7 linked regions of the Mus musculus genome follow. The protein of the gene in region 7 purifies or fractionates together with the protein of the main gene of each other region. This does not show direct contact. Links are inferred from orthologs where the notes say so. Each region holds a gene or a part of one and is shown on either strand. Other genes may lie near its edges. The genes, in order: Ago3, Cnot10, Pan2, Ago2, Ago1, Cnot1 and Tnrc6c.

Region 1 (4,300 bases), on a different chromosome or scaffold from region 7:
AAAGATGAATCAGTGGTTATGATCACTGGCTGTTCTTCCAGAGAACCTAAGTGCTTCCCAGCACCCAGGATGGCTCACAACTGTTTGAACAGTTCTCAGGAATCTGCCACCCTCTTCTTGCCTCCAAGACACCAGAAGTGCAGAGACCAGACACCACCACACACATTTGAAAACAAATAAAAGCATGCTGTTTGTCACCACACCATGTTTTTCTGGAAGCTAGTTGAGCTTGCATTCATTCAAAGAACTAGTTCCAGAATCAAGAGATTGGGGGTAGGATAGGTCCTTCCACAAGTCTGAGATTTAGTTCTTATGGCTTAGGTCAATATGGATTGTATATAATCAGAGCTTGAACATGACTTTTAAGATGTGCTCATTCATCTGAGGATGTGATATTTTAAAAGTGATAAGAGTATTTCTTTTCAGTCAACAGGAAGAGAGGCAGAATTGGTGTGCTAGATGTGGCTTGGAGTCACTTCCATGTATTAAATGTTTATTATGTAGTCAGCATATTTATTAAGTACCTCAAAATTGTAACTATTGTAAATATTTTTGTTACTAACATTTGGGAGGTTTTTGTTTTTTGTTTTCCTTTCAGTTTTTCTGATGAGGAAACTAAAGTCCAAAGATAAAGTGACTAATCCAAAAACCCAAAACGGGGAGGGAAGGGATCGTGAAAATAAAATCTTTCTCAATTCTCTTTTTTAAAAAAGAAATATATGTCAAAACATTACTGGTTCATTGGGACACGGGGAAAAATACTGAATCATTGCTAAGCTTGCATGAAGTATCTGGTTTCACGAAGCCAAGTATTTTTAAAAGACGGACTATTTGCCGGATAATGAGCTGGGTCTAGTCTCCCAAAGGTTCCAAGTCAGCAGAAAAGCACCAGACTGGATCGGATCGGGGAAACTGGAGGCTGACCAATTTAGCTGTAAAAGTCTCGAGTCCCAAGGAAGAGAAGGTTTAGCAGGTGTTTAAACACCGGAAGGTCGTTTAGGTTCCTCAACGTATTGGGAGACTGTTTAAACATAAACGTAATTCCATCTGGTATACATGGAACATCCCGTTTCTTGTTCATCCGTTTAAAAACTATATTGAACTTGTGGTCACCGCCTAGTGCACGTGCTCCAAGCGGGTGTGGCAGACGGAGCTGGGAGGGAGGATGCCCTTGGCTGGTCACCCGCCACTCTCAGGTAGGATGTACCTCAGGTAAGCTCCGCGGGCAGGCAGCGATGTCGCCTCAAGCAGCGGTCCTCACCCGGGAGGCTGGCACGGGGAAAGCTGGCCTCTCGCTCGGGATTGTCGCCGTCAGGCACAGCGGGTGCAGGGCGACCGCCCATCCGCGGCTCCGCCCCAGCCAGGCACCGGCTCACCCGCCCACAGATCCCCAGACCTTGTTGCTCCCGCAAGGCTCTGGCTCCAGGCGAGCTGCCGACCCGGAGGGAGAGCGGGGCGGGATCCGGAGAGCGGAAGTGACGCGAGCGGGCTTCCGGGGGCGACCGGGAAAAGCGAGCGGCTGCGGCGGCGGGGCGGCTGGCGGGTCGGGAAGCTGCACGCGTCAGCATCTGTGGGCGACGCAAGTTCCGGACCTGGTTCCAGCGTCCTCACTCAGGACTGTCGCCGCTCTTACCTCGCTGCAGGCTGTCTGTCTCTCCCGACTGTGCCTCTTGTGCCCGGAGCTTTCCGAGGGCGTCCGCTCCTCGCCTCTGTGGTGGCACCCTTCTCTCGTGAAGCACTCCCCCCAGCTCCATGAATGGAAATCGGCTCCGCAGGTGAGGCGAGCTGCGGGACAGGGCAGGTGGGGTCGTTACCCCGATGTTGTCCCCTGAGCATCCTTGTTCCTTCCACTTCAGGTGCTGTCAGCGCACATAGTGAGGGAGTTGCGGGCTTTCAGGCCCGATGCGGGTGTCCTCTCCACAGCCCAGGGACCTACACTCTTGGGGTCATTGAGTTGGCGAAACTACAAGGAGGGCTTAAGTTTGGAGTTCTGTAGGTGATGACATCCCCCTAGAGTGCTTTCCCCTGAGAATGGAGAGAAGTTTGCCCTTGCTTTTGGAATTCTTGTTGGAAATATAAAGGGCGCGCTTGTCCTTTAACCGGGTCGTGTGTCCCATGGATGCAGAACAAGTCAGGCATAACCCTTATCTACCTATTAGTGTAGTTTGAGGATACTCTGAGATAATCAATGATTACGTTTCTAATTGGTGCTCGGGCGACGTCAGATGCAAGATGGCATTGCTCCCACCCCTGGTTCTCAGTGTCTGAGTGTGTAGTTTCTGAGGAGCTCGGAGATGTCCTGTCGCTCTGGACCACTGCTTACTAGAAGGCAGAGCTTCAGGATGCTGACACTATTTCCCCTCTATTTTCTATTCCCTGCACAGGAAATCTGGAATTTAGGATTTGTCTCTTGAGGAAAAAAAAAAAAAAAAAAAAAAGAGGTCTTGAGAAAGGAAGCCGGCCTGGATAGTGCTTGTCTTTAAAAAGGAAAAAGTAGTCAGCGATTCTAAAGTAGTTGATAGAGTAACATGAAATAGGTGTTACATAACGGCCTGCTGGCCCAGCAGTCACCCTGTTCTCCAGTTTGAAAGTTCTCTCCATCCACAAGATCAGTAATATATTGTTTTCATATATTTGGGGGATTGCCTTGTTATTATGTCCTAGCAAGTCACTGAATTTCATATCTCATCTTGCCAATTTGAAAGGTCCCCAAATATAAGAGAAAAAAAAAAACCCAAAACTAAAACTAGCAACATAGAAGGCCTTCAAATCAGTTCAGGGCATAATTGTCGAAGGGATACAAAAAGGCATTTCCTTTATTATGTGGAATTTCTTTCTACTCAGTGTCTACCATTTTTTCCCTTTCTATGTTCCATTTTTTTTCTCATATTTTCTTAACAGTGAAATATGTCTAGGCTGTGAAGTTTTGGACTCTTATTATCAATATGTGTGTTTCCAGACTGTATTTTCTATGCTTTAAAAGTTTACATTCTGTCTGTACTGCTTTTACTTTATAAGATAATCTGATTATTTCCAGCTCTCTGATTTTTACATAGCTACCCTGTTGCCAAGCCTGGAAAACTAAATATGACATTTAAGGTTGTGTTAATCATCTACCTAAAACTTTTGAAGAGCTTTCCCCCAAATTGAGTATTTTCCCTATTTGGGCTTTTTATGTGAAAATATTGACATGTGTTGATTATTTGTGATATAGGGCCAACTACTCAGTTGATACAATTAGCTAAGCCTGACTCAGTAAAATGTACCTTTTCTTTTTGGGTGTTGTTTTGATAAAATATAGAGCAGTTGATGTCTTCCCATCAGGGAAGGTATAGTTAAGATTTATTAACTAGTTTGGCAATGGTGGCTCACACCTCGGTCCCAACATTCAGGAGGCAGAGATGGTTCAATCTTTGTGAGTTGGAGGCCCGCCTGATTTACATAAAGAGTTCTAGGCCAGCTGGGGCTACTTAGTGAGACCTTGTCTAAACAAACAACAAAACAACCAAATTGTTGTTCATTGAATAAAAACAAACAAAACAGTTCTACCAGCCATGCTTGGCCATCTTGAAACATAGAATTTGTTCTTCAGTGAAGTTTATGTGTGACTGGCTGTTGTTTACTATCAGGCTCAAGGTTGTTACCATCAAAATGATTCTTTTGGTTGGGTGCAGCGACCCATGGCTTTAACCTCAACACCTGGGTTTCTGTGATTTAGAGGCCAGTCTAGTCTACATAGTGAGTTCTAGGCCAGCCAAAGCTACATAGTGAGACCCTTCGGAAGGAAGGAAGGAAAGAAAGAAGGAAGGAAGGAGAAACAGAGAGAAAAAGGGAGAGAGAGTTTTTTGTGTTGTTCTTGCGATTTTTATGTAATTGTTACAGTGAATGTGAAATTGAAACATACTTAGGAAAATAGACAACTAGGTTTTAAATTCAGATTTGACATTTTTTAGCTATGTGGGCTGGAGAGATGGCTCAGCAAGTAAGAGCACTTGCTGTTTCAGCAGAGGACCCGGGTTTGGTTCCTAGCACCATGTGGTAGCTCAAAACTATAACTTCAGTCCCAGGGGATCTGATGCCCTCTCCTGACCTCCAAGGGCATCAGGCATGCATATGGTGCACATACATATGTGCTGGTAAAACATTCATACACATAAAGCAATATAATAAATTTTAAATTTGAAAAAAATAGATATAGGTGCTTTCTAACAGTCTATTAGGTTAGTACTGAAATTTTGGTTCTCAAATTCTGTTTTCCTTTTAGTGCAATAGAGGATATAAAATATAATTATTATGTAAT
Region 2 (4,069 bases), on a different chromosome or scaffold from region 7:
CAACCGGAAGAAGAAAGCAGGAGGAAGCAACACAGACAAATCCTCTCCCCGTGTGCTACTTTCAAAAACTGCTTCCAGAGGCTGTTTTTCCAGAGGGGGCCATGGTGAGGCCCCTTAAAAAAACTCCCACAGGAAGTGATTGCCACGGCTTCTCAGAGCCCATGGTGGATCAAGAGCAGGGATGGAATACACTGTGTCTCCCCTTCACTTCCTGGACCCTGGGCTGGCACTTTCCAAATAAGTTTAACATGTCTCTTCTGCCTCTTTCACCACTACCATAAGAAACACTGGCTGGTGCTGTTTACTTGCGTGTGCGTGTGTCAGAGACAACCTGGAGAAGGCAGTTTTCTCTGCATGAGTCCTGGGGATGGACTCAGGTGTCAGGCTTGAAAGAAAACACCTTTACCCACTGAGTAAAGTGCTGATAAAGTACTACTCGGGTGGTAGTGGTGCTGGCAGCTGGGTCAGCACACGCTTTGATGCCAGCCTTCTGAGGTAGAGGCAGAGGCAGAGGCAGGTGGATTTCCTGCTTTTGAGGCCAACCTGGTCTACAGAGGGAGTTCAAGGACAGACAGGGGCAACACAGAGAAATCTTGTCTCGAAAAAAAACCTAAAAAAAAAAAAAAGAAAAGAAAACAAAACAAAACAAAAAGAAAAGTGTAAGAGAGCAACTACGAGGACCCAACAGCCAGAACCATGCCACTTAACCCAGCAGAGGTCCAGAGTGCAGGTCCTCAGAGGCAGGCTGTCTTACACTCACTTCATCATCTGAAGGATGCCTGCACAGTGTCTTTGTGAAGGAAGGAAGCAAGCAGTGAAGGAACGCCACGTGACTGAGGTGCAACTCAAGCCGGGCAGTCCTGGATCTGGTGAGACGCTTCCCGGGAAATGATTCCAGAAGCAGCACTGTTTTGATTAACAAGGACAGTCCCGGTCCCGTCTAGACCCGGGCAGGCAATTGGCACCCTTCTTGCATCCCACACCAACAGGATCACCCCTTCACTTTATTCAGATCTGTGCTCAATACTATCCCAGCAGGAGCTGGATCAGCAGGGGCTCGGTGGGTAAAGATACTTGCGCCCTGATGATTGGATTTGATCCTTGAAAGCCAAGACATGCAAATCACCTTGGTGCTCAGTGATTAAAAGCACACACTGCTCTTCAGAGGGCCTGAGTTTGATTCCCAGCACCCACAACTACCTGTAACTCCAGCTCTGCGTGACCCAACTCCTCGGACAGCATCTTCAGGCATTTGTCCTCACGTGCATACACCCAAAGTTAAAAATAACTTTAAAAAAGGAATCACCTCACAATAGATTTTCTCTGATCACCTAGCTAAAATTCTATGGCAGTGGGTATAATGGCACACAACTTTAATTTAGCACTCAGGAGGCTTTATGTCTAGTGAGTTTGAGAATAGCCTGGTCTATATAGCGAGCTCCAGGACAGCCAAGGCTACATACATAGTGAGACCCTGCCTCAATCAATCAATCAATCAATCAACCAATCAATTCCGCCCCACTCTCTAAACATTACTTTCTTCAAAGAAATATAGCAGACTTTCCAGGTAATAAATGGGCTCTCATAATTCCCTAATGGGAAAAATTCCTGATGGAGTACCACAGAAAACCACAGAAATTAAGAACTTTATCTTGGGACTGGAGAGATAACTCAGCGGTTAAGAGCACTGACTACACTTCCGTAGGTCCTGAGTTCAAAATCCCAGCAACCACATGGTGGCTCACAACCATCCTTAATGAGATCTGATGCCCTCTTCTGGGGTGTCTGAAAAACAGCTACAGTGTACATACATATAATGAATAAATAAATAAATAACTTAAAAAAAAAAAGAACTTAATCTTGGGGCTGGAAAGGTGATGGCTCAGCGGTTAACAGCACTCGCTGCTCTTGCCGAGGACCAAGACTGGGTTCCCAGCACCCACAAGTGGTGGCCCACAACTGTGTAACTCCAGCTCCAGTAGACGCAATGTCCTCTTCTAGTCTCGGCAGGCACCTGCACTCACACACATAATTAAGACTTTTAAAAAGGAATCTCGAGGAGCTCGGGAAAAATCAGATGAGGAACAAGGTAAGTGAGAGCAGGCAGGAGACACAGTGAAACGTCACGCCTCTTTAGACAGTTTTCAGAATGACTCCACTGGACACGCTGACCAGAGGGAACTTTTTCAGTGGCTGAGCCTGGGGGGGCCTTACGGCAACCGTGCGTGCTCGGATAGACTTTCCCTTAAAGCGTCTGGACAGCGGCGTGACAAATTCAAGCTTCCTGCGCCAGAATTAACTTGGAGAGCAAGGCAAATGCAGTGCAATCAAGATGGGGTGCAGTAGAATCAAGATGTGTCACAGCAGAAAATCCACTGGACTCACAGTAGAGACAGCTGAGAAGAGTGAAGGGCACAAGTACCCAAGCGAAGTCAAGTGGCCCTCGGGTCCCCCACGCGGGCCCTGCCGTCCCCGCGCGCAGTGTGTCAGCCCCTGGGTCGCGGCGCGGGCGCCTCACCTGCAGGCTTGTCTGCAGCCATCTTCCCGCCTCGGCTCGAGTTCCTCCCTGTAGGTGGCGTGGCCCCGACTCCCGCCGCCGGGCTGGTGGTGAGTCCTACCGGCGGGGGACAACTCTTCAGCTCAAGCCCGCTCCAGTCGCCTCGGCTAAGGTCCTGGGCGGGCCACGGGCTGAGGAAGTGACGAAGTTACTGCTCGTCGTCTAGCAACAGCGCCAACACATCCGCCGGTGCAGGGCTGTTTTCCCCGCCATCCACAGCTTCCGTCCCGTAGCGGCCAAGGGAGACGCTACTTCCGGGGCGGGGCCAGCTGGGCGTGGGAATTAGGGCTGGCCTCGGCCCCGGAAGCGCGTCCTTCTGCAAACCCGGAAGTACACTAGTGTAGGTCCTGAGTGAAACACAGAAGGGGAAGGACTTTTTGTTCCGCATTTCAGCAAAATGGCAGGCACCACACCTGAGGTTTATGTGCTAAGCTCTGAGTCTCATAGGGGCTGTTTTTCCATAACAATGAGGATGAGAGAAGTGTTGTTAGAGGAGGCCACCTCCCCCAGAAAAAAGGCTTTTTTTTTTTTCAAAGTTTCAGAGCTGTTTTGTTATTTGTAGCCAAGTTGAAAAAGCCATTCAGACTGCATTATGCATGCGGTTTCTCTGATTGCGAGTCATGCAACCATTAACTTACTATGGTAGGTCGGTCTAAGACAAAAGCTTGATGCATCACGATTACTAAGCACAATGATTTAGATTCAAGTTCAAATCCTCTGCAAAAACAATACCCACTCTTCAACTACCCAGCTCCCAACTATCTCATCTCTAGCCCATATCGTGACAAATTTTTGTTTGTTTGTTTGTTTAATTTTTTGAGACAGAATCTCACTATGTATCCCTATCTGGCAGTCTTTGTGGCAAAGGCTTTAACCCTGAACTGGTTCTGGTTTTGCTCAATGACCATAGCCTTGGGTTCCAGAAGCACCTACTCCATTCTTCCTTTCCCTTCTAGAGAACAAACAGCATTTATAATAACAGAGGTTCATTTCACGGAGAGAAACAGACATTAAAAGCATTTGTGTTAGACTTTTTGCTTCTGTGATAAATACCCTAGAGGAGAATTTAAATGAGGAAGGATGGATTTTTTGCCTCGTGTATCAGAGTTTTCAGTCCCAGGTCACTTGGTTCCATTGTTTTTGGACCATTAGTGAAGCAGTGCATTGTGCCAGGGCACAAGTGACAGAGTAAAGTTGTTGCCTTCCTGGTGCTAGAAGCAGAGGAAGCTGGGAGAAGAAATAGTCTCCAAGGGCACATGCAACTGAGATACTTAGCCCCACTGGGCCGCACCTCCTTAATTTCCATTACTTCCTAATGATGCACCAAATTACGAATCTGCAAGTGGATGAATCCAAGGATAGCTCCAAACTGTTGGAATCCTATTATCACTCTCAAGGACTGGGGGCCGGGCCTCCTATATGCAGGCTTTTGAGGGAGAGGAACTTCATATATAAATGACAACAGCACTGAATTGTAAAGTGACCCAAATGGTGCTTTGATGGGAGCATAGT
Region 3 (4,298 bases), on a different chromosome or scaffold from region 7:
TATGAATGTGAAGACAACCACATTGAGTCTCAGGGATGGAACTCAGACCCTGACAGTTGGTAGCAGTATCCTTACCTGCTGTACCATCTTGAAATCCTCTTTCACCTTTTTGAAAAGAAATACATTTTTATTTGGATGAGGGGGGTGTTTTGAGACAGGGTCTCACTGTCTAACCTTGGTCGGCCTAGAATTCACTACGTAGACCAAGCTGTCCTCAAATTCACAGAAATCCATTCTGCCTCCTGAGTGGTGGGATTGCCATCCCACTTAGCCTGGTTTTTGTTTGTTTGAAACAGGGTCTCATGTAACCTGACTAGCCTGGGACTTGCTATATAGAAGAAGCTAACCTTGAACACTAATCCTCCTGCCTCAGGATTACTGCCATTACAAATATACCTCCACTATGCCTGGCCCAATAAATGCTTTAAAAGTTTTATTATTGGTGTTTATTATTGGTGAGAACTTTCTTCCACAGGCACCTGTTGAAAGGGATATTCACCATGTAGCCATAGCAAGCCTGGTCCTTACTATCTATGTAGCCTAGGCTGGCCTCGAATTTGTAAGGGATTCCTGCCTCTGCTTTAATAATGCAGGTATTGTAGGTATGGACCACTAGTGGCACAGGGCCTTTAAAAACAGAGATGACAGAGCTGAGTTTGGGCAACCTAAGACATCTCACAGCCTGGACCAATTCCAAAGCAGTTTAGTACACAGCCAGTACCCCCAAATATTTTAGACACGGTGACACACTCTCACAGGAGAGGGAGAGGCAGTAGGATCTCTTAGTTGGAGATTAATCAAGAACCCCTCAGAATAGCTACAGCTCAGTTGACTCAGTTTACTGTTTATCTCTCTCTTGGGGTCAATGTCCAGCTCCACGGTCTAGGGGAATTTTGACAGTCTAGGAGACTTGTTTCTTGGGAAAATTAGGGGACCTCTGGGGACGACACAAACATTGATGGGAATTTCAGATGGATGCCTCTAGAAATAGAGAAAAGGTGGCCACTTGGGCCACACTAGAAGTCAGGCTCCCGCTTCCTTTTTCTTCCCCACATCTAGAAGTCATAGGAAATGCCAGTGAGTTTCGGGGGTACAGGGTCAGAGGTATTGGAATGGCTCACAGGCACAGCAAGATGAAGGTCTATACGCCGGGAATGATGAAGGCCACGCTGGGAATACCCACCGGGCGAGTCCCAGTGCTTAGCCTCTGGCGCCCCTTTAGTCTAGTTCTTATTCAGGGAGCGTAAAAGCTTGGCTTCAAAGTCTAAAGTTAATTTTGCTTAACAAAGCCTGAGAGCGAAGGGATTACTTTTCGTAACACCAAATAGATCCGCGCCTGATTCAGTTTGTCCCCGGTGGCATTCCGTAACCTTGTTTTGGCGGAGGCTACGTCACTCTCCTTCTCAGGCGCTGCCTGTACCTGGCTTTTTCTGATTGGCTGGGATGAGCCCGTGGCCCCCGCTGATTGGAAGCGATGGCTGCCAATCCACCGTCCGTCTTGCTTGGGTTAGGTTGAGCTAGAGGCGGGGGAGTAGTAGGGAAACTGGAATTTCCCGCGGAGCTGACGGCGCTTTCTCTACCCCCTACTCGTTTGAATTCCACGCGCTCCAAAATATCCGCCATGGAGAAATCTTGGTAATGACCCATTCCCCGTAAGCATCCCAGGAACACGTCTTGACCTTTGCCCTAATCCTTCCCCTCCCGTCCCCTGCGCTGGGGGAGAATTCTGGGTAACCAGTTTCTCTGGTTCGCTCAAAGAATTCTGGGTAGCTATCCGTTTCCATTACTTCCCCCTTACCCCCGCCCCGTTTGTGGGTAACTGGCCGTTCTTGTTACCCACCCCCTGGAGAATGCTGGGTAACCACTGTAAAGGATTCTGGGAAACTGGCTTGTCTTGCCCCCTTCACCGCCCAGCCCCTTTGTCTCATGTCCAATTCTAAGAAACAAGCATTTCAGAGCTCTCCCCCGAACTCCAGCCCCTATCAAACCCGCTCCCTTCACCTTGTGGTTCAGGAGAAAGGGAAGTCAAGAGTTAGATCATTTGGTGGGCTGGCAGGGAACTTAGGAAGTTTAGAGGTGCAGAGTAAGGGACACTGTCATGCCACTCACAGTACAGCGTTGCCCTTGTCCTCTTCATGCATGCTTCCGTCTTTGCCTGGCAGTCTCATCCCCTCTGCCTACCTGATTGTCCTGTCCACATAGAAGATACTTCCAGTACCTAGGCCTATCCCTGACTGCGCTGCCTCTTTCCCTTGCAGGCCAGAATGTCCATTCTAGGTTCACTGGTGCTGTCCTCCTGAAGGCTGGGTCACTTGTCTGTAGGAAGCGTGGCAAGGGAGGGTGTGACTCCGGTCTGACCAGCGGCCACTATCGTCATGAACTTTGAGGGTCTGGATCCTGGACTGGCCGAATTTTCCCCAGCTATGCATTCTACCCTGGACCCAGTCCTGGATGCCCACCTGAATCCAAGTTTGCTACAGAATGTGGAGCTAGACCCAGAGGGAGTGGCCTTGGAGGCTCTTCCTGTCCAGGAGTCAGTGCACATAATGGAAGGTGTCTACTCTGAGTTGCACAGCGTGGTGGCTGAAGTGGGAGTGCCTGTGTCTGTCTCCCACTTTGATTTACATGAGGAGATGCTGTGGGTGGGGAGCCATGGGGTAAGAACTATACCCCTTTCTGAAGGCTGAAAGGGTGTATTAGAAATCTTTATCTGGTCTTTGCCCAAGGACAGCTCTTTGCAGGTAGTCAAAACTGAGTTGAACTGATGAGAGTTAGCTGGGTCTTTCAAACCAACAAGGGAGTGGAGAGATTAACTACATATTTAGTTTCATAAGGCATTCCACTCTGTCAGTTCTCCTATCACTACTGTGTTTTTGCGACAACATCTCTCTCTATAGTCCAGGCTGATCTAGAACTCACAGCAGTCCTCCTGCTTTTGCCTCCAAAGTGCTGAGTTTCCTTGTATGTAACCATATCTGACTGTTGTTTATTGTTTTTGTTGTGTTGTTGTTTGTTTATTGTTTTTAAAGACAGGGTCTCTCTATCCCAATCTGGCCTTAAACTTTATGTATAGCCAAGGATCGTCTTGAATGTCTGATCCTCCTGCCTCTATCTCCTGAGCGCTGGGAAGATAGACACCAAACCCATATTCAGTGTATGTTGCTGAGATAAACCCCGAGGCTTTTTGCACAGCAGGCAAGCACTGAACTCACTCCTACAGGTCAAATCCTGGTTTTGTTTTGTTTTGTTTTTTGTTTGTTTTTTGTTTTTCGAGATAGGGTTTCTCTGTGTAGCCCTGGCTGTCCTGGAACTCACTTTGTAGACCAGGCTGGCCTTGAACTCAGAAATCTGCCTGCCTCTGCCTCCCGAGTGCCTGGTTTTGTTTTAAGATAGGGTTTTGCTGTGTAACCCAGGCTGGCCTCAGATTTACAACCCTAACATCATCTCCAGAGTGCTGAGTTTATAGGGGTATCACCAACCAAGCTCAGCCCATGTTTTGATTAACTATATCCATCCCTTAGTTTATAGCCATCCATACTCTTTAATATTTTACCCAATTTAGAATTGGGAATGGGGTCGGGGTTTGAAACAATCTCAGTATGTAGCACCTTCTGATCTGGGACTTACTATGCAGCCTAGGGTGGCTTTGAACTAGGGGCAGCCTTATCTCAACCTCAAAGTGCTAGTGTTTCAGGAATGCACCACACCTCGTTTATAATTGCAGAATGTTTAATGAATGTTTTTGGATACCTATTGGAGTTATTTTGTCTTCTCTTTCTGATTGTTAGTCTTAGCAGTTATCAGTGTTAATTTTCAAGTGTGTAATAATATATGCTATGAGGCCAAATAGTTTTTGTAAGACCTTGGTTTACTTATTTACGATTTCATGGGGGTATGAATTGTTTTTCCATTAGGAGAAATGAACTTTTTCACCGATGTATTCAGTTCAGTAAGTCAGGCATGACTACTGCTGTGCTCGGCACAGGGAACAGAACTGAATGCAGCATAGACCATAGAACAGGCATGGTTGTTCACACCCTATAACCTTGACTTGGAGGCTGAGGCAGAAGGATGGTAAGTTCCAGGCCAGCATGGATTACCATAGTAAGACCATGTTTCAAAAACCAACTGCCACCACCAAAACAGAGGTCTCCCTGCCTTTACATCCTCAATGCTAGACTCTGAGGCATGCGTTGTTGTGCCTAGCTTTGCACTTAAAAAAAAAAAGTATTTGGTGGTGGAAGCTGGAAGGTGGGCACTTATTCAACCTCTTGTCAGCAGAATGAAGTGCACACAAC
Region 4 (4,093 bases), on a different chromosome or scaffold from region 7:
CCACGGTAGAAACTTTTTTTTAAATTGTGTGATAACAGTTCATAAAATTTTTTAAAAGTGGGGGGGGGGAAGAAGAGAAACATTTTTATCATTCTGGCAGCCCCAGCCTCTTTACTTGTAAAGAATAAAACCAATGGTGTTGACAGAGAAACTCAAAAGTTACAAAATGTTGCTTCTTCAGAATGTGTAAGTCAAAGCTTTTACATCTTTTTTCTTGAACACTTATTTAAATTCCCCCACAAGCTACTGGAGGGTGGGGGAAAGATTTCCCACAAGTGCTCAGCCACCGGCTGTGCGTTCCAGCTGTTGGCAGAGCTTTCCCTGCGGCACACACAGGCCGCCAGGCTGCAGTGGTACCCTCAGACAAAACTGTGAATTGGGGAGAATGAGGGTGGGGGCAGGGCTAACCGCTGCCACCGGAGGCCACAGCAATGATCAAAGACTCAGTCCTGATTGGCAACTCTCAACCCAGTTTCCAGAGTCACAGAGGTTATTTTGTAGCAAATACTCCTGGGCTCTAGAATGCAGGAGCACCGCCTTGCAGGAGGCAAAGCTCCTCCCAGACAGTTTAAGATCCTTGGGTGGGGGGGACCCCACCCAGAACCCACTATCTAGGAAGTTTCAGTATGGGTAGTTAATTTACCTTCCCGAAACCACTAACCAACCCCAATAGCACAGGAAGGAAAAGAAAAAAACCCTATGAGGTTCTAAACCTTGGCCCCCAATGTTACTAACCTCACACATCTAACAGTATTTGTGACAGACACAATAAGAACCCACGGTGAATTCTATTTTTAAAGTTAATTTACTATTTACTTCCCATCAAGCTCAGAAACAGCAAAAGTCTGTCGCTTTTCTATAATTCAGATCCAATGGTCTTCCATTCTCCTAAACTTGGAAATATGATGGAGTCTCTTTGAAGAGATGGGGGCGGGGGGATTCCTTGTAAACAGAATTAAAAGCCTTGATATGTACAATAAAATGGAGCTGCACTCCAGGCTTGCAATTACAGACACTGGCCCACCTGAAACTTGAGTTCCTTCCCAGTCTGCCATTAGCCAAGAATTATCCTACAGGCATCTCTTTTCTCACCCAAGGCCTTCTTGGTTAGAGGGGACTGTCTCCCTCTTAGGCCACAATGCGGAGGCCCACGCAGCAGCCATCTTCAAAGCTGCCAGTGACCAAAATGAACCGGTTGCTACCGCATTCTCTCTTTTTTTTAAAGGCAACAAAGCTCCCCTTGCAGAACACACAGTAGGCTCTTACTTCCACCCTAGCAAAGAGCTCACTGGTCTAATCCACACCAAACCAGTACTTCCAACAGCGGGTCAAGGTCAAAGGGACTGGGAACCACTTCTAGAGGGGAGTGCTCAAACAGGTTGCCCTAATGCTTGCTGGCTCCCGGATGTTAAACCTCTCTGAGCCTCCACTGTCCAGCGTCTTCAAGAAAGACCCACTGTGGCAAGCTGAAGGGATCAATCAACACGCGAAATTGACGAAAGCCTGGCCTCGTCCCCGAGGAAGTCACTAGAAATTGACACATTGGGAAAACGTACAAATTTGGAGCTAAGATTTGCTGGGTTCCTCCACAGCGCTGAGCTGGGGGGTGGGGGTGGGGGGGGGGTTCCCAATCTGGCAGGAGGCTGCCGCTGGCCATTTCGCAGGGACCTCCAGGCCCCAACATCTGTCCCTAGGACCCGGGCACCTCCCAAGCGCAAGGTTAAAAGGGTCTTCAAATCGTTGGGAAGCCTTTTAACGCATTTACAAGTTGGTCAGTGGGCATTCGAGGAGCCCTGTGACATCAGGAGCGGAGGCGCACTAGGCTCCGGAGCAGGCACCATAGGGAACCCGGGAGGATCTGGGAGGCTTCCAGACCCCACAGTGAAGAAGTCTGGGGAGGCCCCAGGGCCGAACCACTAGGTCAGGTGGGCAGCAGGGAGGGCCCGCGGGCGCCAAGTACAGCCTGGCGGACAAAGGGGTGCAGGCTGAGCCCGAGCAAGCGGCGGGGCAGCCGGGAAATGGAGCCACGTGCCTGGCGGGAGAAGGCGAAAAAGCCTCCCCAACACTTGTTTTCTCAACCCCGCGAGTAAACCGCCCTCCGCTCGGCTCCAGGAGCGGGGTGGGGAAATGCGTCCGTGTTTTTAAGTTTTCTGGAACTTTTCCAGAGAAACGGGCACGCTGGTGGGAAAGGGGTGCCACGGCGGCCACCCGCTCCGCTAGGAAATCGCAGGGCGATTAGCACTTGAATGGGGAGGGCGGCTGCCCGGCGTGAAACTGCGTCCAAGCGACCGATCGCGGTCCCGGGGCCCCGTGGTTCGGTTCCCGACCCGTCCAGCTCCCCGCCCCAGGCCCGCCGTGCTGGGCCCCACAGCTATGCGCTCGGGAACGGCGGGAGGAGCGCTGCGGGAGGACGGAGACCCGTTGCAGGCCGAGCCTGGGCCCCCGCACACGTCCCGGTGGCGCTGCTCGGGTGCACTGGGCCTCCCGGCCCCGAGGCCCTGCCCGGCCGCCCCGAGGCTACGCCGCGGCCCCACAGGCCCCGCCGCCCTCGCCTGCCCCGCCCGCCAACCGCCAACCGCCGCGGCACGAGTGCCGGGCGCCGCGCGGACTCACCGGGGCCGGCTCCCGAGTACATGGTGGCGTTGCCGAGGGCCGCGGCCGAGGGCCGGCCGCGCGCTCCACGGGCCCCGACGCCGCGAGCCGCGAGGAGCCGCCGGCCGCTCGATCCGCCCCGGCGCGGCCGCCTCGCAGAACAGGTTTACCCGACGCGGCCGGGGCGGCGGGCGGAGGCGGCGGGAGCGGAGGGGGAGGGGAGCGGGAGGAGGGAGGGGAGGAGGAGGGGCGAGAGGGACGACGAGGGAGGGGACGGCGGGGAGGGAGGGAAGGAGGGGACAGCGGGGAGGGAGGAGGCGGGGAGGAGGGAAGGTGGCAGGGAGAGAGGGGGGCAGGGGAGGAGGCTGGAGGCGGCGCGCGCCGGCGGGATGGGGGGGGGGGGACTCGCTGTGGCGGCCCCCCGCGTGCTTGCCCTGAATGAGGGACCCCAGAAGCGACCCAGGGCACGCGAGCCGAGACCTTCCCTGCGGCCGAGCGAGGCGACGTCTGGTTTCCGGGCGCGGCCAGCCCGGCACTGCGACCAGAGTCGGAGTCCTCCCGCGCCGAGTGGCAGAGCCTCGGCCGCGTCCCGCCACGCACCCGCCCCTGCACCTCGGCCTGGCTCTTTAAGTTATTAACGAAACGGCGACGGGAAGCTAGCTCCCCACCCAGAGCTTGAACTTGGACGCGGCCAGACCCGTGCGCGTGACCACACCGCCACCTCCCGGCGCGACTCCACAACCTAGATAATCCTAGCAAAGCACCAAGGAAGCCCAGCAAGTTCAGGATTAAATTTTATCAGCTGTCAGGGAGCAGATCTGGTCGGGGCTTCCCGCTTTCTGGCCTCCGAGCCCCCAAGTTCTGCTCTGAGGCCTGCTAGACCAGCATGCTCTGTGCACGTATGTCCCTTCTTCACTTGTTGCTGGCGTGTGCTCCTAGTCCTGTCCAGCTGCCTCTGGAACCTTTCTATAGAAGAGGCGGGTGTGTCAGCTCCTGCCTCGCCCTGCAGGCTTTGCAATGTCTTCAAAGCCCATACTGAGAACCCAGGCCAAAGACAAACAGGGTCCTACTGCAGGGACCCCAGGATCGGGGTAGGCTCCATATTCTGTGTAGTGCTCAAAGATAGTCCCAGGAACAAGAAAAGCAGCTCTCCTTCCAATAAAGGAGGAGGAGGAGGAAACTAGACACAGCATTGCAGGGCTGCCATTCCAGCTAGCCAGAAGTCGAGGGAGGCGGATGGCAACCGTAAATCTAGTCTAGGATACATAGAAGAAAGACTTGCCCCCACCCCTCTCCCAAGTGATTGACACAAATGGGTAATCAATCATACCTAGCCCTTGCGGTACCAATACTTTGGTACTTTAGGGATGGAGACAGGATTTGCTGAACTCAGGAGTCATCTTGGCTCAGAACCAGTCAGGGTAACACAGAACTAATGGGGATGCGGTGAGGTGGGGGGGGGGGGGAGGTGGTGTTCGGCGGGAGGCGGTGTTAGACTTCA
Region 5 (3,500 bases), on a different chromosome or scaffold from region 7:
GGGAAGCACCTGTTCTCAGGTCTATCCTGAACCTTCCACAACCTCTAATTCCCAGTCGGTCGAGCAAAAACAAAAGGAAAAAGAGCAAACGATCTGAGCTAGCCTAGAAATAATAAAATAAAGTGTAGAACAATCCCTCTCTCTGGGTCTCTAAACTCTTAGCAGTTTTCTCTCCATCATCACCTTGCTCTCATTCCCACACCTACGTTCTTCTGACACAGCCTCTAGGAATCCACAATGTCTCAATTTAAACTGCCTTGTGCCAGTGGCTCCACTCCTAGGACTTCTATCTTACAGATACATTCATGCATGGGTGAAAATATGTATCTTTATATAATACTTAACAGTTTCAATCTTGTTGCAAAGTTTAGACTCAACCTAAATATTCCACAATAGATCAAGAAAGTTATGCGGCCACCCCAAGGACTACCTAGGGCACTATGCAAAAGAATAAGGCAGATCTAAATAAACTAATATACGCTATTTTCCAATATATGTGGCTAAACAGAAAAAAATGGACAATATTGAACAAAGTATATAGTATTGTACATTAATATTATATGTGTTCATACATTACATATTGTATTGGCTGGTTTTGTGTGTCAACTTGACATAAGCTGGAGTTATCGCAGAGAAGGAAATGCCTCCATGAGATTCAGCTGTAAGGCATTTTCTCAATTAGTGATCAAGGGTGGGAGGGACCATTGTGGGTGGTGCCATCCCTGGGCTGGTAGTCCTGAGTTCTATAAGAGAACAGGCTGAGGAAGCCAGGAGAAGCAAGCCAGTAAGCAGCACCCCTCCGTGGCCTGTGCATCAGTTCCTGCTTTCTGACCTGCTTCAGTTCTAGTCCTGACTTCCTTGGTGATGAACAGCAATGTGGAAATGTAAGCTGAATAAACCCTTTCCTCCCCAACTTGTTTCTTGGTCGGGATGTTTGTGCAGGAATAGAAACCCTGACTATGACACGTATGTATACATAACATTAATGCACATATATTTTATTATATGTAATACTTGTACAAAATCAATGTGTATATGCATATACAATAATATGTAATAATGTAATATTATATGTGCTTGTTAAGAATATAATTAATAATTAATGATAATAGAAATTGATGATATATTACTATAGAATGTATTATATACTCATGACTATAATATTAATGTACATATATTAATGTATGCACGTACAGAAAAACATCTGAAAATACACTCAAGATTGTAGAAAAAAATGTTCAAGAACAATAATTTTTCACTGCTAATTCCTAGTTTTTAATTGTGAATATGACTTTCAAGTAATAATAAACCAATTTAATCTGCTTCTTATTCGACTAACCCCTCCAACTACACATTCCACAACATCCCCTGCAAGCAAGAACATCCATCCTGTTCTTATTCCCGCCATTTTGACCTTGCCTTTTAACTTCTTTCTCTACCAGCTCCTTTAGTAAGTCTCTAGTCTCTGTGCTCATGCACATCAGCAAATATTAGACTATGCTCCGTGCTACACTCCGTCTAGCCGGCATGCTTCCTCTTTTCCCTGTTTAATAAATTGGACTTGGTGCCACCTGCGGGCATCGCTTACCGGTTGACTCTGCGAGGACACTTATCCGGCTTGATGTCCACCTCGTAATGGTAAACGTCAATCTTAGGAATGTCCACCTCAAAGTAATTGGCCAGAAGCTTGATTGGTTTGCCCACAGTGCCAATGCCAGGCCGGCGGGGTGCCTGAAACACCTGCTGCAGGGGAGGCAGGTAGGCACCTGCCGCTGTGAAGACAAAGACGCCACTGAGGACAGAGTCTGGCAGTCTCCTACCGTGGTCAGACATGGCCCCTCAGACCAAGACCACTGGTCTCTTTCCAGTTTTCCTAACCCGGCAGGGGGCTTCCACTAGCTCAGACACTCACAGGCTCACTGGTTTTTCTGGTGGCTTATTTCTCTTTTATTTTTGTTTTAAACCTTTCTTCATTTAGGAAAATGTGTATCTGAAACCTCATCGAGTAAATGTGTAACGAGTTCCTATTGCATCAAGAAAAGTAGTTAAGTCTGTTTCCTAGTTTTACAAAACCTTTTCTTCCTTCTACACTAGACTGAGATAACTGTCTCTACCGGGCATCTGGCAGATGGAGAAGGTCCTATTCTGTGCTATGAGAGGCTTACTTCACTCATTACCATCCAGAGCACAAAATGGCACAGAACTTTGTGATTACACCCTCTGTTAATGTGGACAGGAGAATGACCCTAAGTAATCCAGGCTGGGAAGGGCAAGGCCGGTGCCTGAGAGAGGATTGAGACATGCAGTGGCTGGCTCTGGAGAGACATAAAGAAGAGAAGGGTTGAAGGACAGCATCTGCAGACTAAGAGGAGACTGCCAGGGTGGGAGAGAAGGTCGGATCTGGAGGACACAAGAGAAAACAGACAGGAAGGGGGTGGGGGAAAGGGTGCAGATAAGGCAAGGTAAGTTGGATTGGGGTACAGGGAAAAAACTATCAAGATGTAGAATGAAGAAACAGAAGGAAAGAAAAGCTCACATGAGGAAGAAAGCTGGAGGTTCTGGAAGGAGGAAGAGCAGTAAGAGGGGAGGCAGCAGGTCAGAAGGGGAATAAACAGCACTTTCCATTCTCCACAAATCTTTCCACACAGAGGGTCCAGACAGCAGAAAGGATCGATTCAGAACAGAAGGGGCCCTTGGGAAAGGCTAGCATAGGCCAGCTTTTCTCTCTCTCTCTCTCTCTCTCTCTCTCTCTCTCTCTCTCTCTCTCTCTGTGTGTGTGTGTGTGTGTGTGTGTGTGTGTGTGTGTGTGTTGACTAAGTGGGGCCTTTGTCCTCAGCTACTATTGTTCTTGCCTGCAGAAGACTAGCCCAGGTGGAAGAGGGATAAACTCAGAACCTCCCTTTACCAGAGCTCTGCTTTCATGGAAAGGACTGGGGGATGGGGCAGGGGTGGGAGGATACGGAGCATATCTTAGGGAGGGGGGTCAGGAAGAGCACCATTTTGTGGGAGGTGCACACTTTCCAAAGCTGAAGGACTTGACTCCCTCTAACCACCTGTCAAATCAGCCCCAGCCCCTTTCCACAGAGGAGCATGCAAGTCCAGCCCAAAGAACTCAGCGGCAAAGGAACTAAACTAGTCACACCTATCCCAGAAAGAGCTGAGCGGACACTGCGCACAAGCCCACTAACAAACACCCCTCTCACATCCTAGCTCTTTAAAGTTTACTGTTGCACATACACTCACCATCCTCAGCTCAGTGTTTCAAAAAGAGGACCATACTTGACCTAGTCACAGCTCAAGCTAATGCCGGGCACAAAGACAGGTACTTAGTATACCCATATGAAATGAATGACCAAGTCTACCCATAGGCACACCACAAGAGTACACAACTACACAACCACACTCGCAACGGTCCCGAACGAACAATCATAAACTCTGCATTGGAGAAGCACTTGCCCCCTTTCGGATAGATCTTTCCCTTTCCCAAGTTCTAGGATCCC
Region 6 (4,300 bases), on a different chromosome or scaffold from region 7:
GTACTTGGGGTGGGGAGAGTGCCAACAAGGAGCAAAACACACAGCTCAGGGGTAGAGAGCATTTGCCTCAAATGTTAAGGTCTTGTGTTCAGCCCCAACAACACATACAGAGTGTGTGTGTGTGTCAGCAAACACGCCATTTCAAAAGGGCAAATACTATTTTGGTTAATTCAAGAAGCATCAAATGGGGACAAGTGCAGTGCACTAGTAGGTAGAGGCACCTGCCACCGAGTCTGACTGCCTGCGGTCTATGCTTGGGACCAAAACAGTAGGAGAGAACCCACTCTTCAAAGTTGTCCTCTACCCTTGATGAGTACTGTGGGATGTACTCACCATACCAACATAAATCCACTCACACACGATAAATGTGCTTTAAAGAGACAGAACAGGGTTATGTGGTGAAGAGTCTATAAGTATCTACAATCTAACACTGCCCTACTGTCACTTAGTGATCTGAGACAGGACTCTGAACTTGAGGCTACCCTAACTACAAGCCAACCCAACCATAATCCCACTTCCACAGAACCCAACTCCCTCTGCTGAACTCTTCAACACACGGTACTCATACATATGAACAACACACACACAAATAATAAAATAAAGTCACCAAGAATATAAAGCCAACTTCTAAGACTATAATTGTTAAGGGCCTCAAGATGGCTCAAAAGGTAAGAGCATTTGTCACACAAGCATGAGGACCTGAGATCCATCCTTTACATTTCACTAAGCGTCAAAATACTGACTCCTCATATTCTTAGACCTCTCCTCGCATGAGCTATGGCACAAGAATGCTAAACTCACTCACTCGTGTGTGTGTGTGTGTGTGTGTGTGTGTGTGTGTGTTATTCAACAAATTTTAATCTTGGGTTTAAAAAAATACTTTCAGGTATTAGTGACTAGGATCCTCCCCACTCAGCCTTTGTTTTTTCCCACTGTTTTTGTTGCTGAGACAAGGCTTTCACATGTAGCCCAGGCTGTAAAGAAATCACAATGAGCTTCATGCCCCATTCTGTACTGCTGGGATTACAAGCAGCCAGTGTCACCACACCCGGCTAAAGGTCAGATTTGTGTGTGTGTATGTGTGTGCCTCGATTCTAGACTTGCTTCCACTAAACAAACAGCCAGGACCAGGTGAAAAAGAACCAAATTCCCAAGTCAGACCCTCTGCCTGCAAAAAGAACCTTTACTAACATCCTGCCTGCCATTCAGGCCAAGGCCCTGCTTGCTATCATCAGGTCTTCCTGCCATGGGACAACCATCTGTAATGTCCTCACACAGCACTGAAAACAGGTCCCATTTCTACCTCCACCATTTTCACACATGTATACTACTTTTCCAAAGAGAGGTCAGGAGGGAAATGCTGGTATTTTCTCTAATAAGCAGTACACCCACTCAATTATTGGCTGATTGTTGTTGGGTTCCCCCCCCTCTCCATTGTAATCACAAGGGACCGAACTGCAACAAAACCGGAAAACTCAAGTACTGTTACTCGGTTTTGAATAGAGAGGAAAAAGAAGTATATAGGCCCCAAAGAAACTCGACATCTGGGGCTAGAGCTCACTGATACAAGGCCTGCCTGGATTAAATGTCCACGGAAGGTGGGACTGTAATATTTGTCGAGGTGACTTCTGGGGAACGTTTACCTCTCATGAAGCTTAATTTTCCATACAACACTTTGAAAAGCACTTCTTTTCAAAACCTACAAAGCACTCCTCCTGCAAGTAATGTCTGTGAGCACAGGTGGGTGAGCTCCCTCCCGGACCTGGTGGCATGGCCAAATGTGTTTGCTTATTAGCCTTAGGCTTAACCTAAGATCTCTCCAAGATCTGCACCAAATCAAGACCCACAAGCATTCTGCTCACTGGTGGGCATCTGCCGGTAGTTGCCGGTTGGAGGGTTGGGGGCGTTGGGACAGGCAGAACCAACACTACCAACCGCACAGGGACCTAGGTGACTTAAGTTGGGGGGCTATCGACTTGTTAGAAAGTGCGAGCGCCGGGGCGCGCGAGTGGAACAAAAAACCTGTAGCGAGAAGGGTAACACGGAAGTGCTCACTCCCGCCCGCCCGCCCCTCCCACCGCCAAGCAGCCAAAAGCGAGGGGCTTGACAACGTGCTGGGGGGCGCAGGAGGGGAGGGAGTCCCCGGAAAGCGCTACGAATCGGCAGCAACTCCAAACCCGCCCCCTGGCCCGCCCGCCCAGCGAGGAACCTAGGTAGGCCGCGGGCGCCCGCGCCCATAGCCCCCCATCCGGGAGCCCGGGAGGAAAGGGACAGTTGAGGAGCTCGTGCGCTCCGAGGAGGCTGCAGCCCTGCGCGCGCGGCGAGCCGAGGCCCTGGGATCCGAACTGCCACCTCCGCCGCCGCCATCCTCGAAGCCTCCAGGCAAGGCCTCCAGGCCGAGCCGCTCCGGAGCTGCTCACCCGCGCCCGGGCGCTCCGAATCCAGGAACGTGAGCCCCCGGTCTCCCTTCTCCAAGAGAGCAAAGCCGCCGCGAGCGGGCCGAGTCCGTCCCCTCCCGCCTTGGCTCCACGTCTCCGGCTCGCCTGCCCGAGTCCCGACGCCCCGGGAAAAGGCTTCCAGGGTCCCCAGTCCACCCCACCCCCGGTACCGCTCCCACCCGGACCCGCGTCCCGAGCTTGACACTCCCAGCCTCCGCCACCTCCAACCGCAGCCCCAGCCCGCCTCACCTCAGTCGGCTCCCGCAGCGCTGGACACAGGAAACTCCTGGGTCCTCGACTCCGGCTCTCCTCGACCCCCCTCTTCGGTTAACTCCGCTTGTTTTCTCGACAAAATGGCGCCCGAGGTCGCGCGCTCACGTCGCGGCCTTTCCCCTCCCAGTTCCCATTTCACCATTCGCTGCCCGCTTTGGCGGAGGGATGGCCCTAGCGCCCAGCCAATGGCCGCGCGCTGACCGCAACGGCGGTCCAATCGCCGATGGGTACCCGCGGATTTAAACCAATCACACACTAATCACTCGCAGAAGTCGAGGAAGAAACCAGGCTCCTGCTAGCAACCACCAATCCAGACTCCTAGTTTGCGGGGCTCAGGCCAATTGCCGCTCATCAGCCCTGGGACTGGGTCCGAGTCTGGGCGCCTGCGCACCCGGGTGTAAGCCAATGGTTAGACGTTGGGAACTTCGATTTGGGACTCGAAGACATAAGCCTTCGAGGTGTTCGACCTATGGGGACTGGCTGGTCATTGCCTCCGGGAAACAAAAAAATACGGAAGGGAGCTCGTTAATGCATTGCCACCCTGCGCACAAACTACTCTAACTTAGAGACAGGGTGATGCTCGTCTACTTTCCTTCGTCTTTCGAAATGTCACGGTCCGAGAGGCTGTGCGGGTTCCCAGCGGAAGCATTGTCCACCCCTCGGATCTCTTTAGCAAGGAGCACCAGTCATCAGAAGGCGTCAGACGCGGGGCAAAGTTGAGGTCCTTTGCATCCTGGGTTATGTAGTCGCACGCCCCGCCTATTCCTGTCGCAAAAGTAACGTGGTCTCTTCCATCACTGTCTGCGCCCTAGAGCAGCAATGCATGCTGGAGAATGTAGTCTCCCAGATGCCCACCTAATCCTGGCTCTTTTAAAGTTTGTTTTCCATTTGTCTTTTGAAGCAGGGACGCTTTGCAGAGATATAGAAACAGAAGTTCTCCTCCTGCTCTTGGCTATTCTCAAGGATGCCAATGCCTTTTGCTTCTTGGATAAAAGGCTACGTTATCCACTGTGTCCTCCTATCTTTTAGACTTTTTGTTTGAGTTTTGAAACAAGGTCTCTTTCAGTTAACCCAACTGTAGTCCAGGCTGGCCTGAAACATACTAAGAAGCATAAATTGACCTTGAGCTCCTTGCAATCTTCCAAAATACTGAGATGATAATAGACGTAACCTCTCATACCAGTACTATTTGAACTTTAAAGAGATGTGTTAAAGACTTTTATTACTTATTTTACGTGTACAGGCGTTTGCTTGCATGTAAATCTATGCACCATGCATGTACAATGTCCTCAGAGGTCAGAAGAGGATGCCCGTCCCTCTGGAAGTGAACGGTTGTGAGCCACTGGGTGGGTCCTCTGGAAAAGCAGCCAGCTCTTGTAATCTCTGTGCCATCTTTCCAACCCCTAGATGAAAAAAAAAAAGTGTCTGAGTGCTTGCCTATATATATGTTCACCTAGAGAGTGTGGACCTGGTACCCAGGAAGGCATTGGATGCCCCGGGACTGAGATGAGAGTCTCAGCAGTAAAGTTGTAAGCTGCTCTATGAGTGCTGGAAACCCACCCCTGCACCTCTGCAAAAACAGCTCCTCT
Region 7 (3,500 bases):
TAAAATTAGCCCCTCACTGTTGGAAGCATGATGAAAAGGACAACATGGCCGGAGCCCTGGCAGTACTGAGCACACCACCCAGCACATCTTTTCCCTGGAAAACTACAAGAATTTGCTTTGTTTCCTCCCTTGGAAACCAGCTACACCACTTAGTCATTTGCTATGAGAGTTTCAGTCCAAGAATTTACACAGGCACGGAGTACACACCAATGGTATGACCAGAGGGCCCCCAGCATACCTGGCCCGAGCAGTGGTGACCGATTCAGCTGAGTGCCAGCCTGGTGTGAAGGCGGCGTCTCGGCCCGGTGTGTGGTGCTGCTCGAGGTGGGGGTCGTGGGGGTGGCAGGGGCTGTGGTACTGCTCTGGATGACTGGATTGTTTCTGTCCCACATGTTTACAGTTTTATTGTTGTAGGTGCTTGGGTCCCCCCAAGCTGAGGTACCATCATCAATTTCCATTTTGCGTCGGATGGAGGGTGGGGAAGGCTCCTCCCAGCCAGTCGCCTCACTGCTGTCCTTCTGCTTGACTGGCAGTGGCCCCCCAATCCACCCTGTCCCTGTCTGCTTAACAGAAGCAGCTCCTCCCCAGTTACTCACATTGTTGTCTTGGGGCTTATGAGCCCAGTTCTGCTGGGGACCAGGCTTGAGAGACTCCCCCCAGTTTGTACCTGGATTCACCTTAGCATTTGTGCCACTGCCCCAGCCACTGGTCCCACATCTCGTGGCATCATTCCAACCAGACCCTGACCTATTACCATCAGCATCCCATCCAGATCCATTTTTCTTTCCATCCCCTAGATGTCCAAGGACAGATGATGAATCTGCCCAGTCTCCTGCCCCTGTGCTCCAGGCTGGGTTTGCTCTTTGTCCATCTCCCCAGTTTTGGGATTTGGGCTTCTGAGGCTCACCCCAGGTGGGTGATTTGTCCTCTTGGTTTACAGTCCCACTCCAAGCATGGCCACTCTTGGTGGCAGCAGCATTGTTAACAGCAGTAGAGCTTATTGAGTCCCCCCAAACTCCTGGGCCACTTGGCGCTTTGTTGTTGCTGTCTCCCCAGCTTGTGTTTGCTGGCACGGCGGCAGGTGGTGAGCTGACCCACCCCGATACTGAAGAGGTATTTGTACTGTTCATGATGGACCCATCAGTCTTCCCCCCTGAGTTTGAAGGCTGAGTAGCTATACTACCCCAGGCCTCTGTCCCATTGTCATTTTTCCTTTCAGACCTAGGGGACTCTTCAAATTCCCAGGCAGTGTTTTGCTTTACGGGAGTCTGTCCCCAACCACTGTTAGACAGAACTCTTGGGTCAAGGTCATTCCTTGGCAACTGGATGTGCCCTTGGTCTAGAACCCCTTTGTCTCGCCTCCGGCCCTCTCCTGTCCCTTCCCTCCCAGTGCTTCCTTCATTGTGATTGCCGGACCCATCACTGCTTCCTTCACTTGCTGTAGTTCCAGAAGATGTGGCTTTGGCCCACGAGTTCATGTGTTCACTGCCAGGCTGCAGGGCAGGGGTCTGGCTGGCAGCACTGGCACTGTCCCACCCTGTTGATCCTTTCCCACTGATGTCACTACTGGAATGCTGGTTTGGGGGCTTCCCCCACTCCCCATTCACACCATTAGAAGAACTTCGGCTGGGATGGCCCCAAGCTCCTGAATGGATATTACCAATGCCATTGGTGCCACTGCCCCTTCCCCAGGCAAGGATGCCAGGCCCTGCAGGAGGCCCTGAGTCCCAGGCGTTCCCTCCATTCCCTTCCTTCTGCACAGCACTGCTGGATCCGTTCTGCTTAGCACTTAATGCTGAGTTCACAGTGTCTCCATTCCCTTGACTGAACCCACAATTGGTACTTCCTGTGGCAGGGTTACCAGGGGACAGTCCCCACACAGAACTGCCCATTCCTTCCCCACCACTCCCACTGCCTTGAGAGACTGATGATCCGTTAGCACCAGGAAGGCCTTGCAGGTGGGGTGGGATGATGGCCCCCATACCAACAGCCATGCCCCAGTTTGGCAGTCCGTTTGTCTGCATTGCATTGATAGGGTTTGGTGAAGAGTTCATGGGGTTAGTGTTATTTGGTCCATCAGTGTTAAGGTTCTGAGGTTGTACGCTGAAAGACACATTCTGAGAAGTGGATGTCTGTGGTTCTGCGCTCTCTTGGGGCAGCAAGTTTCCCCAGGCACCTAGGGCGCCCACTGGGTTCCCATTCTGGCTGCCCATATTCTGACCTATGGCACTGACTGGACTGCAAATACTGGAAGGGTTGCCTGTTGCCACAGTTCCTTCATGCCCGAGTACAGGCCAGGCAGCTGGGTTGGCATTTGGATTAAGGTTGAGATTAATGCCCGCATTGGAGTTAGAAGCACCCCAACAATTCTGACTTCTCCCATCTCCGATCATGTTGTCCATTTTCCCATCTCCACCACCAACAGAGCAGTGAGCCAGGCCAGAGCTGGAGCTTGTGGCTACACCCCACACTCTGGCCACGCCCCCGTTCCCATTGGTTCCTCCTGCCCCAAGGGCACTCTGGTTAGAAGGGCTTTGGACGAGTGCGCCATTGGTGCCATGACTGCCGTTTGTCTTCTTCAGGTGGCTCGGGAAGCTGCTCTGGGCACTCCCTGTAGCCATGCTACTGTTCTCTGAGCCACAGTTGGAGGCAGAGTCAGTGTCGGTAGGACATTCTGAGGCAGATTCCGTCTCAGTTACTGGGATGGACGGCCACACCTCCGGCTCAGTCCTGTCTATTATCACTTTATCCCAGCTGCAGTTGGCTTCACTTCTGTAAGAGGGATGCTGTCCCCAGTGGGAATTTTCATAATGATCTACCAATCCACTGTGACCAAGATCTGGAAAAAGATGAAACAAAACTCAAAATTAGATTCTCCTCCCATCTGTCAATGAATCAACTAAGAACTAGTTTTGGGGAGAAAACTAGCTTTTTATCTTAAGTTCTCAATTCTCATTGAAAAATGCATAAAAAGCATAAGGGGCTGTGGGTGTGGCTCAGTGGTAGAGCACCTGCCCAGCACATCTAAGTTCCTGGGTTCCATCCCAGGACTACAAAACAGCAACAACAAAAACCACCAACCAACCAACCAACCAACCAACCCCTTAAAACCCCGAATGTTTCCTTGATGTTATCAAGATGACTGGACTAGCTCCTGCTGTGCAGGAGACAGCAACCAACATTCAAAAATCTACTTTGGTGAAATTCTTAGGAATCTAATGGTGTGGGGCATGTGTACCATTTCTTCTAAAGTGAAGGATGAGTTACTGCACTTAGAAAGAAGCGTTTAATGGGCCTGTCTGGATTCTGGAGACAGCACATCTACTCACTTGGGTGTGTTACTCAGGGTCCGTAGACCCAGTGACTTGGGAAGGTGCTAGCTTCGTGTGGAGCCTGAACAGGAGAAGACTTCTCAACAGGTCCAGGCTACTATGCAGGTTGCTCTACCAATTGGACCATATGGTCCTGCAGAGCCAATGGTGCCTGAGGTCTCAGTGGTA

The links.
Region 1: the proteins of Tnrc6c (region 7) and Ago3 purify together in Homo sapiens (affinity purification with mass spectrometry; 3 studies listed by BioGRID and IntAct, with this or other methods). This does not show direct contact. The link is inferred for Mus musculus from reciprocal best matches to the Homo sapiens genes TNRC6C and AGO3.
Region 2: the proteins of Tnrc6c (region 7) and Cnot10 purify together in Homo sapiens (co-immunoprecipitation; 3 studies listed by BioGRID and IntAct, with this or other methods). This does not show direct contact. The link is inferred for Mus musculus from reciprocal best matches to the Homo sapiens genes TNRC6C and CNOT10.
Region 3: the proteins of Tnrc6c (region 7) and Pan2 purify together in Homo sapiens (affinity purification with western blotting; 3 studies listed by BioGRID and IntAct, with this or other methods). This does not show direct contact. The link is inferred for Mus musculus from reciprocal best matches to the Homo sapiens genes TNRC6C and PAN2.
Region 4: the proteins of Tnrc6c (region 7) and Ago2 purify together in Homo sapiens (co-immunoprecipitation; 6 studies listed by BioGRID and IntAct, with this or other methods). This does not show direct contact. The link is inferred for Mus musculus from reciprocal best matches to the Homo sapiens genes TNRC6C and AGO2.
Region 5: the proteins of Tnrc6c (region 7) and Ago1 purify together in Homo sapiens (affinity purification with mass spectrometry; 5 studies listed by BioGRID and IntAct, with this or other methods). This does not show direct contact. The link is inferred for Mus musculus from reciprocal best matches to the Homo sapiens genes TNRC6C and AGO1.
Region 6: the proteins of Tnrc6c (region 7) and Cnot1 purify together in Homo sapiens (co-immunoprecipitation; 4 studies listed by BioGRID and IntAct, with this or other methods). This does not show direct contact. The link is inferred for Mus musculus from reciprocal best matches to the Homo sapiens genes TNRC6C and CNOT1.

What each region holds. Positions count from the first base shown.
Region 1 is NC_000070.6:126,426,743-126,431,042, reverse strand, and holds the start of Ago3 (protein argonaute-3), read left to right. Parts: upstream 1-1,500; 5' UTR 1,501-1,756; coding exon 1,757-1,775; intron 1,776-4,300.
Region 2 is NC_000075.6:114,637,401-114,641,469, forward strand, and holds the start of Cnot10 (CCR4-NOT transcription complex subunit 10), read right to left. Parts: upstream 2,801-4,069; 5' UTR 2,541-2,800; coding exon 2,519-2,540; intron 610-2,518; exon of another isoform or gene 1-609. UniProt on the Homo sapiens protein: Component of the CCR4-NOT complex which is one of the major cellular mRNA deadenylases and is linked to various cellular processes including bulk mRNA degradation, miRNA-mediated repression, translational repression during translational initiation and general transcription regulation.
Region 3 is NC_000076.6:128,301,837-128,306,134, forward strand, and holds the start of Pan2 (PAN2-PAN3 deadenylation complex catalytic subunit Pan2), read left to right. Parts: upstream 1-1,498; 5' UTR 1,499-1,635; intron 1,636-2,258; 5' UTR 2,259-2,375; coding exon 2,376-2,657; intron 2,658-4,298. UniProt on the Homo sapiens protein: Catalytic subunit of the poly(A)-nuclease (PAN) deadenylation complex, one of two cytoplasmic mRNA deadenylases involved in general and miRNA-mediated mRNA turnover.
Region 4 is NC_000081.6:73,182,148-73,186,240, forward strand, and holds the start of Ago2 (protein argonaute-2), read right to left. Parts: upstream 2,801-4,093; 5' UTR 2,636-2,800; coding exon 2,614-2,635; intron 1-2,613.
Region 5 is NC_000070.6:126,462,084-126,465,583, forward strand, and holds part of Ago1 (protein argonaute-1), read right to left. Parts: intron 1,773-3,500; coding exon 1,589-1,772; intron 1-1,588.
Region 6 is NC_000074.6:95,804,646-95,808,945, forward strand, and holds the start of Cnot1 (CCR4-NOT transcription complex subunit 1), read right to left. Parts: upstream 2,801-4,300; 5' UTR 2,688-2,800; exon of another isoform or gene 2,185-2,687; intron 1-2,184.
Region 7 is NC_000077.6:117,720,289-117,723,788, reverse strand, and holds part of Tnrc6c (trinucleotide repeat-containing gene 6C protein), read right to left. Parts: intron 2,840-3,500; coding exon 239-2,839; intron 1-238. UniProt on the Homo sapiens protein: Plays a role in RNA-mediated gene silencing by micro-RNAs (miRNAs). Required for miRNA-dependent translational repression of complementary mRNAs by argonaute family proteins.